Linked DNA regions of Chlamydomonas reinhardtii. The protein of the gene in region 1 interacts with the protein of each later gene in a pairwise test. Links are inferred from orthologs where the notes say so. Each region holds a gene or a part of one and is shown on either strand. Other genes may lie near its edges.

The links.
Region 2: the proteins of CHLRE_17g735950v5 (region 1) and CHLRE_09g390430v5 interact in binary tests that used the Arabidopsis thaliana proteins (3 or more experiments, as listed by UniProt). The link is inferred for Chlamydomonas reinhardtii from reciprocal best matches to the Arabidopsis thaliana genes TTL and DDL.

What each region holds. Positions count from the first base shown.
Region 1 is NC_057020.1:5,235,531-5,239,691, forward strand, and holds CHLRE_17g735950v5 (uncharacterized protein), read left to right. Parts: upstream 1-1,299; 5' UTR 1,300-1,445; coding exon 1,446-2,393; 3' UTR 2,394-3,457; downstream 3,458-4,161. Other genes in the region: CHLRE_17g735900v5 (uncharacterized protein), read right to left, coding at 1-422. UniProt on the Arabidopsis thaliana protein: Involved in the last two steps of the degradation of uric acid, i.e. the hydrolysis of 5-hydroxyisourate (HIU) to 2-oxo-4-hydroxy-4-carboxy-5-ureidoimidazoline (OHCU) and its stereoselective decarboxylation to (S)-allantoin, a major ureide compound.
Region 2 is NC_057012.1:3,643,263-3,647,604, forward strand, and holds the start of CHLRE_09g390430v5 (uncharacterized protein), read left to right. Parts: upstream 1-1,491; 5' UTR 1,492-1,775; coding exon 1,776-1,785; intron 1,786-2,077; coding exon 2,078-2,880; intron 2,881-3,108; coding exon 3,109-3,159; intron 3,160-3,374; coding exon 3,375-3,496; intron 3,497-3,834; coding exon 3,835-4,052; intron 4,053-4,294; coding exon 4,295-4,342. Other genes in the region: CHLRE_09g390356v5 (uncharacterized protein), read right to left, coding at 1-925, 1,051-1,152. UniProt on the Arabidopsis thaliana protein: Involved in the microRNA (miRNA) and short interfering RNA (siRNA) biogenesis. May facilitate DCL1 to access or recognize primary miRNAs. Binds RNA non-specifically.

The DNA.
Region 1 (4,161 bases):
TCAGCCGCCGCCGCCAGCTCCGCCGCTCTAGGCAGCGGCATTGGCGCCCCTCCACCGCCGCCGCCTGCTGCTGCCGCCGCCCTTGCGCCGCCGCCTGATGCTGCTCTGCGGCTGCTGCCTCCGCCCTTGCCGCCAGAGCCCCGAGCGGTCGCGGCGGCGGTCGCGGCAGCAGCACCGGCGTGCGAGCTGCTGCTGCTTCCGCCTGAGCCGCCGCCGCTGCTGTCTGCATTCCCATTGCTACCACTGGCACTCGTGAGCTGTTGCTGTTGCTGCAGCAGAAATGCTTGGTGCACGCGGCCGCCCAGAGCGCAGACCCGCGCAACCCGCTCCTCGTAGCTCGGCTCGGCCTGATGCGAGGAGGCGGAGCTGCTGCCGGCGCCGGTGCGGACAGACAATAGCCTGTGGCACCTAGAAGGCGGCATCGCGCACCACCGCTGCACGGGCAAGCGAAGGGCAGTAAACCTGGAAGCAACGTGGATCGCGCGCTCCTCACAACGCTCGCAACATGCTACTTTACGCTTCCGTGCAGCCGTGCGTGTACCTGTTGAATCACTACTGAGCTGCTGCGCGGTGGAATGCGGCTTCGCGCGCGATGTCGAAGACACCAAGCGACCCGCCGGATCACCCCCAAGATCGGCCATACCGGCCGTCTTACCTCTTTGCCCGGACCTTGAACCGGTGACCAGGCGAGCAGCACGGTACCTGCCCTGGATAGGAGCGCACTTGTGTGCCTTCGCGAGATGTGCCAGGTGGGGCGACCCAGTGGCAGCATCGGATCACAGACTTCCCACTCTTCCGCCCCACTCCGTTCCTCATGAACGCCTACCTTCCCCCTGGGTTAGGGGAAACCTCCTTGACTACTGGAACCTACTCCGTTGGGCTTGGGCACATACCCCCCCCCCCGGCCCGCTGCCATACTGGACCGCTGCCTTGCCCGCCACCTTCGCCCCCTGCCCCCTTCCCCTGCCCAGGCCCCTCCAGCACCAGCTTTGGCGCAGGTGGGGGCTGTGGATCCTCATGCCAGCAGCGTTCCAGGTGCGGGCGGCATCGCTGCGTGGGTGAATGTTGCAGTCACCCATGGGGGACGGTCCTCTTCCGTGCTCGTGAATTTCTGGCCCTTTTGGCCCAGAAGGCGGGACAGAAGGGACCGGGGGACTTGCGCTGCGGTACACGCGAGGTCGGTGCAACCGCGAATGTCCCGCGAGTGAACGGCACTTATAGGTAAAGCGGACTGGCAGTGTGCGCGCAGGATCATAAGTTGTATACAGTTTGAGCAACATTGCATTAGGCTCGGCAATCTATGGCGCGGATGGTCCTGCAGCAAGCTTTCAATCCAGGCACGTGTGCACTCGCTTTGTCTGTTATTCACCTGACAGATTGACATCTCTTTAGTTGCGCCCAATCAAGCTAGATAGGACGTAGCCAGCGAGCCAAGAAGCCATAAAATGGCGCTCGCAGTTTCCTATGAGCAGGCGATAAGCTGCTGCGCGTCAACCCGATTTGCGCAGCAGCTCTCTGCACACGCACCATATTCAGATATTGACGCGCTAGTCGCAACAGCACGGCGTATCTGGTGGACGCAAACTGGTGTGCCGGGATGGTTGGAGGCCCTTGCAGCGCACCCTAAAATTGGTGACAAGAAGGGCATGGAGGGAAAGCCGGAGGCGTTCGCGGGCTTCAGCAGGAACGAGCAAGCAGCTTCCAATTCCAGCCTCAGCGGCGATGTGCAGGCCGAGCTGACGGAGTGGAACCAACGCTACCTGGAGAAGTTCGGCTTCATCTTTATCATCTTCGCGAAGGGCAGGTCCGCGCCTGAAATCCTGGCCGCGCTGAAGAAGCGCTTTAACCGCCTGCCCCACGAGGAGCTGCACACCGCCGCGGCGGAGCAGATGAAGATTACAGAGCTGCGCCTGTCGGGCCTGTTCGCCCTGCCCCCCGACGCCGCGGACCGCGCGGCGCGCCGCGCCGAGCAGGTCCTCACGCACCTGGCGCCCGGGCACGGCGGCGCGCCGCTTCGCTCGCCCATCACCACGCATGTCCTGGACACAGCAACCGGCCTGCCCGCGAAGGGCCTGCCGCTCGCGCTGTCGCGCCAGGACGAGCTTTCCAAGGTGTGGGAGACGGTCGGCGAGGGCGTCACCAACGAGGACGGCCGCGTCGGCAACCTGCTGCCGCCGGGCAATTACATCCAGCCCGGCCGGTACCGCATGTTCTTTGACACGGCCGCCTACCTGGGCGCCTGCAAGGCCGCGCACCCCGCATTTTACTCGGAAGTCCCCTTCTACCCCGAGGTGGTAGTGGAGTTCATCATCACGGCCGACAAGGCGTCCGAGCACTACCACATCCCGCTGCTGCTCAGCCCCTACGGCTTCTCCACCTACCGCGGCAGCTGAGCGCATTGCTGGCAGTGCTGGTGGCGATGGCGGAGCTGGTGGAGGTGGCGGAGCTGCAGGGCGACGGCGCCTGCTGATGTGGCGCTGCATGGCAGTAGTTGGCGGCAGTAGCTGGCGGCAGTACCTGGCGGCAGTAGCTGGCGGCAGTAGCTGGCGGCGGTTGCTGGGGGCAGCAGGAGGGCGAGGGGCAGTTACCACGGGTGGTTAGGTCGAGGCGCGAAGAACTCATGGCAACGCAATGCAGTGTGCATAACGGAGGCGAGTGGGTGATGCGCTTGTACGGCAGAAGCTAAGGAGCTGGGCGGGTGACGGTGTGGGCGACAGCTCATCACAGCGAAGGGGCCGGACTGGTGCATGCGAAACCTACGCAAAGGAGAGCCAACAGGGTCCCTGGGGCAGGGGTCCCGCGCATGTGTATGCGTATGACAGATAAAAAAAACATGCAGGGCGCGGGTGGGGAGCAGCCCGCAGGGCCTGACTTGTTGTGGTGCACGCGCAGCTGATTGTGTGCAGCGATGCGGCGGCGTCGGTACTAAGGGCACGCAGGATTGCGTGGGGGCCTGCAGGTCTAGTGCGAAGTGGTACTGACCAGTACATTATCGGATACGGTGGTAGGTGCGGACGGTGCCTACTGCGGCACTCGTGTGGCGCGGGGCCGACGAGGTGCGGAGCGGTATGGGTGCTTGCTTGCCAGGCAGCTCACGCTGGGGCTGCAAAGCATTGACCAAGCGCTCGTCGGGGTTGATGGCGATTGGGAGGCGTTCGGTTGTTGGACGGAGAGGTACAGCTATAAGCGCCGTGCTACAGCTATAAGCGCCGTGTGGAAGGTGTTATACGGTATCTGCCGTGCTGAGGACGCAACGGCAAGGGATGGCGATACCGATGACTGGATCGCGATCAGATTATCCTAAGCGCCTTGACTCGTGTAGGCTTTGGGCCGCGGATGTATGTTGAGGAGCCGGGCGGCCTAGCATGAGCACGCAACTGATGCAAAGTAGGCGTCGCAGTGCGCTGCTTTCACTGCGGTAGTCTTGATGCTGTGTGCACTGTAAACCCTTGCAAACCGTTGCCGTCAGGAATGGTATGATATCGTGTGCCGTCGTGCAGCATTGCAGCGGCAGAGTCACAGGCAAACAATCCCGAAGCGTTGATAGGGCTGTGGCTCCCAGGCTCAACTGCTCTAGTCAAGTTGACTGCCTGCGTGTCAGCTGTCGGCCACCCACCAGCACCACCACCTAGTGCGCTCCAGCAAAGAGCCGTTGCCTGACGCTGCCGACAGGGCTGGCAGGAGCCAAGGCATGAGCAGCAGGCCCGAGGCTTGAGGCTGGTGGCGGGTAAAAAGGCTAGCTCACAGCACGCAGTGGAGGGGGGCTTGCACGAGCTTCTACAGGCTATATGCCTGTCCTGACGCCACCATCTGGCTTTGACCGGGCCCGACCTCCCAATGCAGATCACCTCCTCTGCAACCCCCTCTGTAAGAGCTGCACCATGCACCACGCAGCCTACCGCACCGCTCGCCCCCTGCTCCTTGCAGCCCCCGCTCTTACTTCGCTCCTCCATTTCAACTGTGCGCTTCGCCTGCGCCTGTCTGCCGACGTAAATTTGAATTCCGCAGGCTTAACCCGCACGACGGCGGCTCCATGCCGGGACCCACCCACCCAGCCGCTGCTACTGCCACTGCCGCTGCAGGTGCCACGTGGCGTGCTGCAGAGCGCGGGAGACGCCGCTCCATTCCATCCCAATGCCTGCCATGCAACATGGATGCCTA
Region 2 (4,342 bases), on another chromosome or scaffold:
CCGGCAGAGGCGCAGCCGGCTCAGCTGCCGCTTCCCCCTGCTCTGCCTGTGCAATTCCTGCGGACGTCGCCGCCGCGGTGTCGCCGCACGCAGCGGCTGCCATGGCGCCCGCCTCAGGACTATCGTCATGGTGCGCCGCTGCCACGACCGCAGCAGCAACTGGGCACTGCGGCGGCTCCGTCAAGCCCTCCGTCCCGCCGCCACTCACATCAGCACCGCCGTCAGGGGTACGTCCTGCTACTGCCGCCATTGCCGCCGGGTCGCCCTCGGAAGCATGGCCTTCCGCTGCATCACCGCTACCGGCTGCACCTCCAGCAGGACAGCCTGCCTCTTGCGTGCTGATGGTGCAAGACTGCGGTCCTCTCCCGGGCTCCGCGTCAGCAGGTAGCGGTGCGCGAGTCGCCAGCATGGATGCGGAAGCGGAAGTAGCAGGAGCAGTAGCAGCTTGCGGGCCGTGGGCTTGCCAAAGCCCACAGTGATTCGCAGAGCCGCACGACAGCTGGACTCCAAAGGTCACGGGCGGCTCAGCGGCTGCGTGCGCCGCCTTAAGGGCAGCCAGCGCTTCCGCCGCCGCCCCAGCCGCTGCCACCGCCGCCTCCATGCCCCCTCGCTCGGCCGAACCCAGACCAACTGCACGACCCGAAGAAGTGATCGTTTCGGAGACTTCCAATGCCAGGCGCAATCGCTTCTCAGCTGCAGCTAGCTTCATAGCTCGCTCCACGTGCATGCGAGCCTGCGCCGCCGCCATGTGCCGTACCAGGCCGGAGCTGACGAAATGGAAGGCGGCGTGGTGGGGCTGCTGATGGCGGCCGCCAGCACGGTCGGCATGCGGCCCGCCTGGAGACAACTGTCGTCGCACAAGCTCTTCAGACTTGAGGTGTTGCAGCAGGGCTTCCAGAGATGTTTTATTTAGCTTTGTTACAGCCTGGAGAGGCGCGAGCGGGGGAGGGGAGAGGTGCGGTATGGGGTAACGTGGGCCTCTGCAAAGCCTCGCAGGGCTGTGCAGTAGGCCCCGCAAGCCAAAGCGTGACCACCATGCCGGTGCCGCACCTGCTCGTGCCGCGACTCCAGTAACTGCCACACGAATAGGGAGAGAACGAAGAGCCCAACTCCGAGCTTCAGGGCCTTGCTGCAGGGCTGGAGGACCGGCATCGCTAGGGGCAGGCAGAAGCGCCGGGGCTACGGCCGCTGGGTTTCCGGGAGCTTGCTGTGTGCCGAGAGGTCCGCGTGGCCTCAGGCCACTGTCAGAGCCACCCCCTGTTTCGATTACATCACACTACTACATCATACGAGCATTACATCAGTAATCATGCCTTCGCCGTATGATTTTAACAGGAGAGGAAACCCAAATGCCAAGCGCAACTGCGGTGCGTCCTCTCGATATGCACTTCAGTTAAGTTAACTATAATCACTAGGGTATTAATACCGGAAGAGCTTTGGGTGGCGCAGCTACGGTGAATCCGAAATTGAGAAACCGGAGCAATCCATGAAGTCAAAGTTAGGCCAGACACTGACCCTGCGCTCATAGAGATACAACATTACATCAATACACTAACGCTAAGCAACGCCCTCGACTATCTAGACGCTGCGCCTCGGACTTGAGCCACTTGCAGGCCCTGACTGCCCGCACTGGTTCACCAGCGTTTAATTTCTAGCTCCTGGTACTCTTAGCATGCCTCGGTAACCCTGTGCTGGTGCGGCAGAGGAGTTCGCGGGCGAATTGCTGCTGACAGCAGTTCCAGCTTAGCTGGGGCTGCAATTGTGGAACAATCACCATGGGTGATGGTGAGTATAGCAGCAGATCTCAGGCTACTGGCGCGACGGAGGTCAGACGTGACCGGGTCAGGGGACCGGGACCCTGGCGCTCAGCCAGCCTCGCCAGGACCACACCGTGGCGGGTGTTATCGTGGCGCCATGACAGTGGCACCCACGCCACGCCTGCATCACATCTGAAACATGCTTGTCAGACAGCTCACCCCACAGAGCACAGCACCTGGCGACCGGCCCACGCTGGCCCACTCCGCACGTCTCACTGCGCTGCCACCGTTAATCTGCAACCACACCTCCCGCATCGCAGAACGACGCCGCCGGGGACCCTCGCGTTCGCCAGAGCCGCGGGACCAAGGCCGTGATCGCGACCGCGCCCGGGAACGGGACCGCGAGCCGCGGGACCGTGCCGACCACGGCCGCGCCGACAGGGAGCGGGAGCCGCGGGACCGGGAGGCGGGGCGTTCTCGAGACCGGGATGCGGACCGGGAGCGGGACTACGGCCGTGACAGGGAGCGGGAACACGAGCACGACCGAGACACGGGCCGTGACCGGGGCGGCCGCGGCGGTCATGCGGAGCCGGAGGAGCGCGGCGGTCGCGGCGGCGGCGGCAGCGCCAGGCCCGCGGTGAAGGAGGAGCCGGCGCACGAGGATGCGCCCGGGCCACGCTATGGCGGTGGTGGCGGCGGTGCAGGGCGGGATGAGGGCCTTGATGGGGGCCGGCGAGGGTGGGACCGCGGGGAGCGCGACAGCAGCGACCGCGGCGGCGGCCCGCCTGGAGATGGCCGCGGCGGCGACCGCGGCGACCGTGGCCCGGCTGGTGAGGGCCGTGGCGGCGGCGACCGTGGCGGTGACGGCGGCTTTGGGGGGCGGCGTGAATGGGATGATGAGGACCGTCGTGGAGGCGGCGGCGACGGGGGCCGCGGCGGCGGTCGCGGCGGCGGCCGGGGTGGAGGCCGGGGCCGGGGGCCAAAGCGTGGCCGCGACGACGATGACGAGTGGGGTGGTGGCGGTCGGGGCCGTGGTGGCAGCGACTCGCGCTACATGTCTAAGGAGGAGCGGGAGTTCAAGGAGCGGGAGGCGGAGGAGGCGGCCAAGCCCAAGGCGCCCAAGGCAAGTGTATGTGGGCAGCATCGGCGCAAGTAGTGCATCACGGGGGTTACGCATGCTGCATCAGGCGGCACGTGGCCATGGCAAACAGGACTGTCTTGCTGCAAGTTGCTCACTGACCTTGGTGCTCAATGGCCATCATAGACATGTACTGCCACGGCCCTGCACAACCACTTACACGGCCACCACGCCGATGCTGCCATGCGCACATGCCCCCGCTGACACCCTCAGGAGCAGCCCAACTTGGGTCTGTCCGGCAAGCTGGCGGCTGAGACAAACAAGGTGCGTCTGGGCGAGGGTTCGGCCAGCAGGGCATTCGCTTGTGGGGCTAGCAGGTTGCTGTCACACCCTGCAGTTCCCCGGCTGTGCGGAACAAGAGACTGTATGCCCGTACATGGGGCTGAGGGTCGGACGCGTGGAACCACGAGTGGAACCACGGGTCCGCGGCCTCATCTGTGTGAATGGAATCAACGACCTCCTGCATGTGAAAATGGCAGGTTGCGGGCGGCGTGGTGTTGAAGCATGTGCCTCCGGCCGAGGCGCGCAAGCCCGACAAGCGCTGGCGGCTGTACATCTTCAAGAACGACCAGCTGCAGGACGAGCCCTACCACATACACAGGTGCGGCGCATGTCGTACGTGTGCACGATGCGTGGGGCCCTGCGCTCGACTTGCCCGGGAAGCCGTCGCGCCACTGGTGGGCGCCTACCTCCTCTGCCAGCCGATACGATATGCGGATACGGGTTTGCACGGACACCACCATGCTCCCTGCCGTCATCTCGCCCTCCCTCGCCCCTCACGCCATTCACCCCTGCTCGTGCACCTTTGGCCTGTTTAGCGCCCGCTCTACCCGGGGCTCTACTCCCTTTCCTTCGTACCCCAGCATCCCCGTCCGTCACGCGGCCAACCCCTCCCGCGTCCCGCCTCCCCTCCCTCCTGCCTCCCCACCTCCCCTCCAGGATGGACCATTACCTGTTCGGCCGCGACCTCACAGTGGCGGACATCGTGACCGCGCACCCCTCCTGCTCCAAGCAGCACGCCGTGCTGCAGTTCCGGCTTACGGAGAAGGCGGGCGGCGCCGGCGGTTTTGACGAGTACGGGCTGGCTGTGGGGCCGGCGGCGGCGGTGCGGCCGTACCTGCTTGACCTGGGCTCCATCAACGGCACCTTTTTGAACGGTGGGGCGATGGGTGCGTGGGAAGGGGGAGGAGCGTGGGGGCGGAGGTGATAGGGAGGAGGAGGGCTGGCGCGAGGGGCTGGAGCGGGCTGGGAATGAGTGGTTGCGGCTGGGCTCTGGGGGACTAGCAGTCCAGGGTGCGGCACCTATGGATAGACGCAGTGGCCTTACTGGCAAACCATTCCAAGCCTCCACCTGGCTTTTGCTCCTGGGCCTCCTCTTGGACCCTCTCCACGCCTGCAGGCGAGAAGGTGGAGCCGCTGCGCTACTACGAGCTGTTGGAGAAGGACG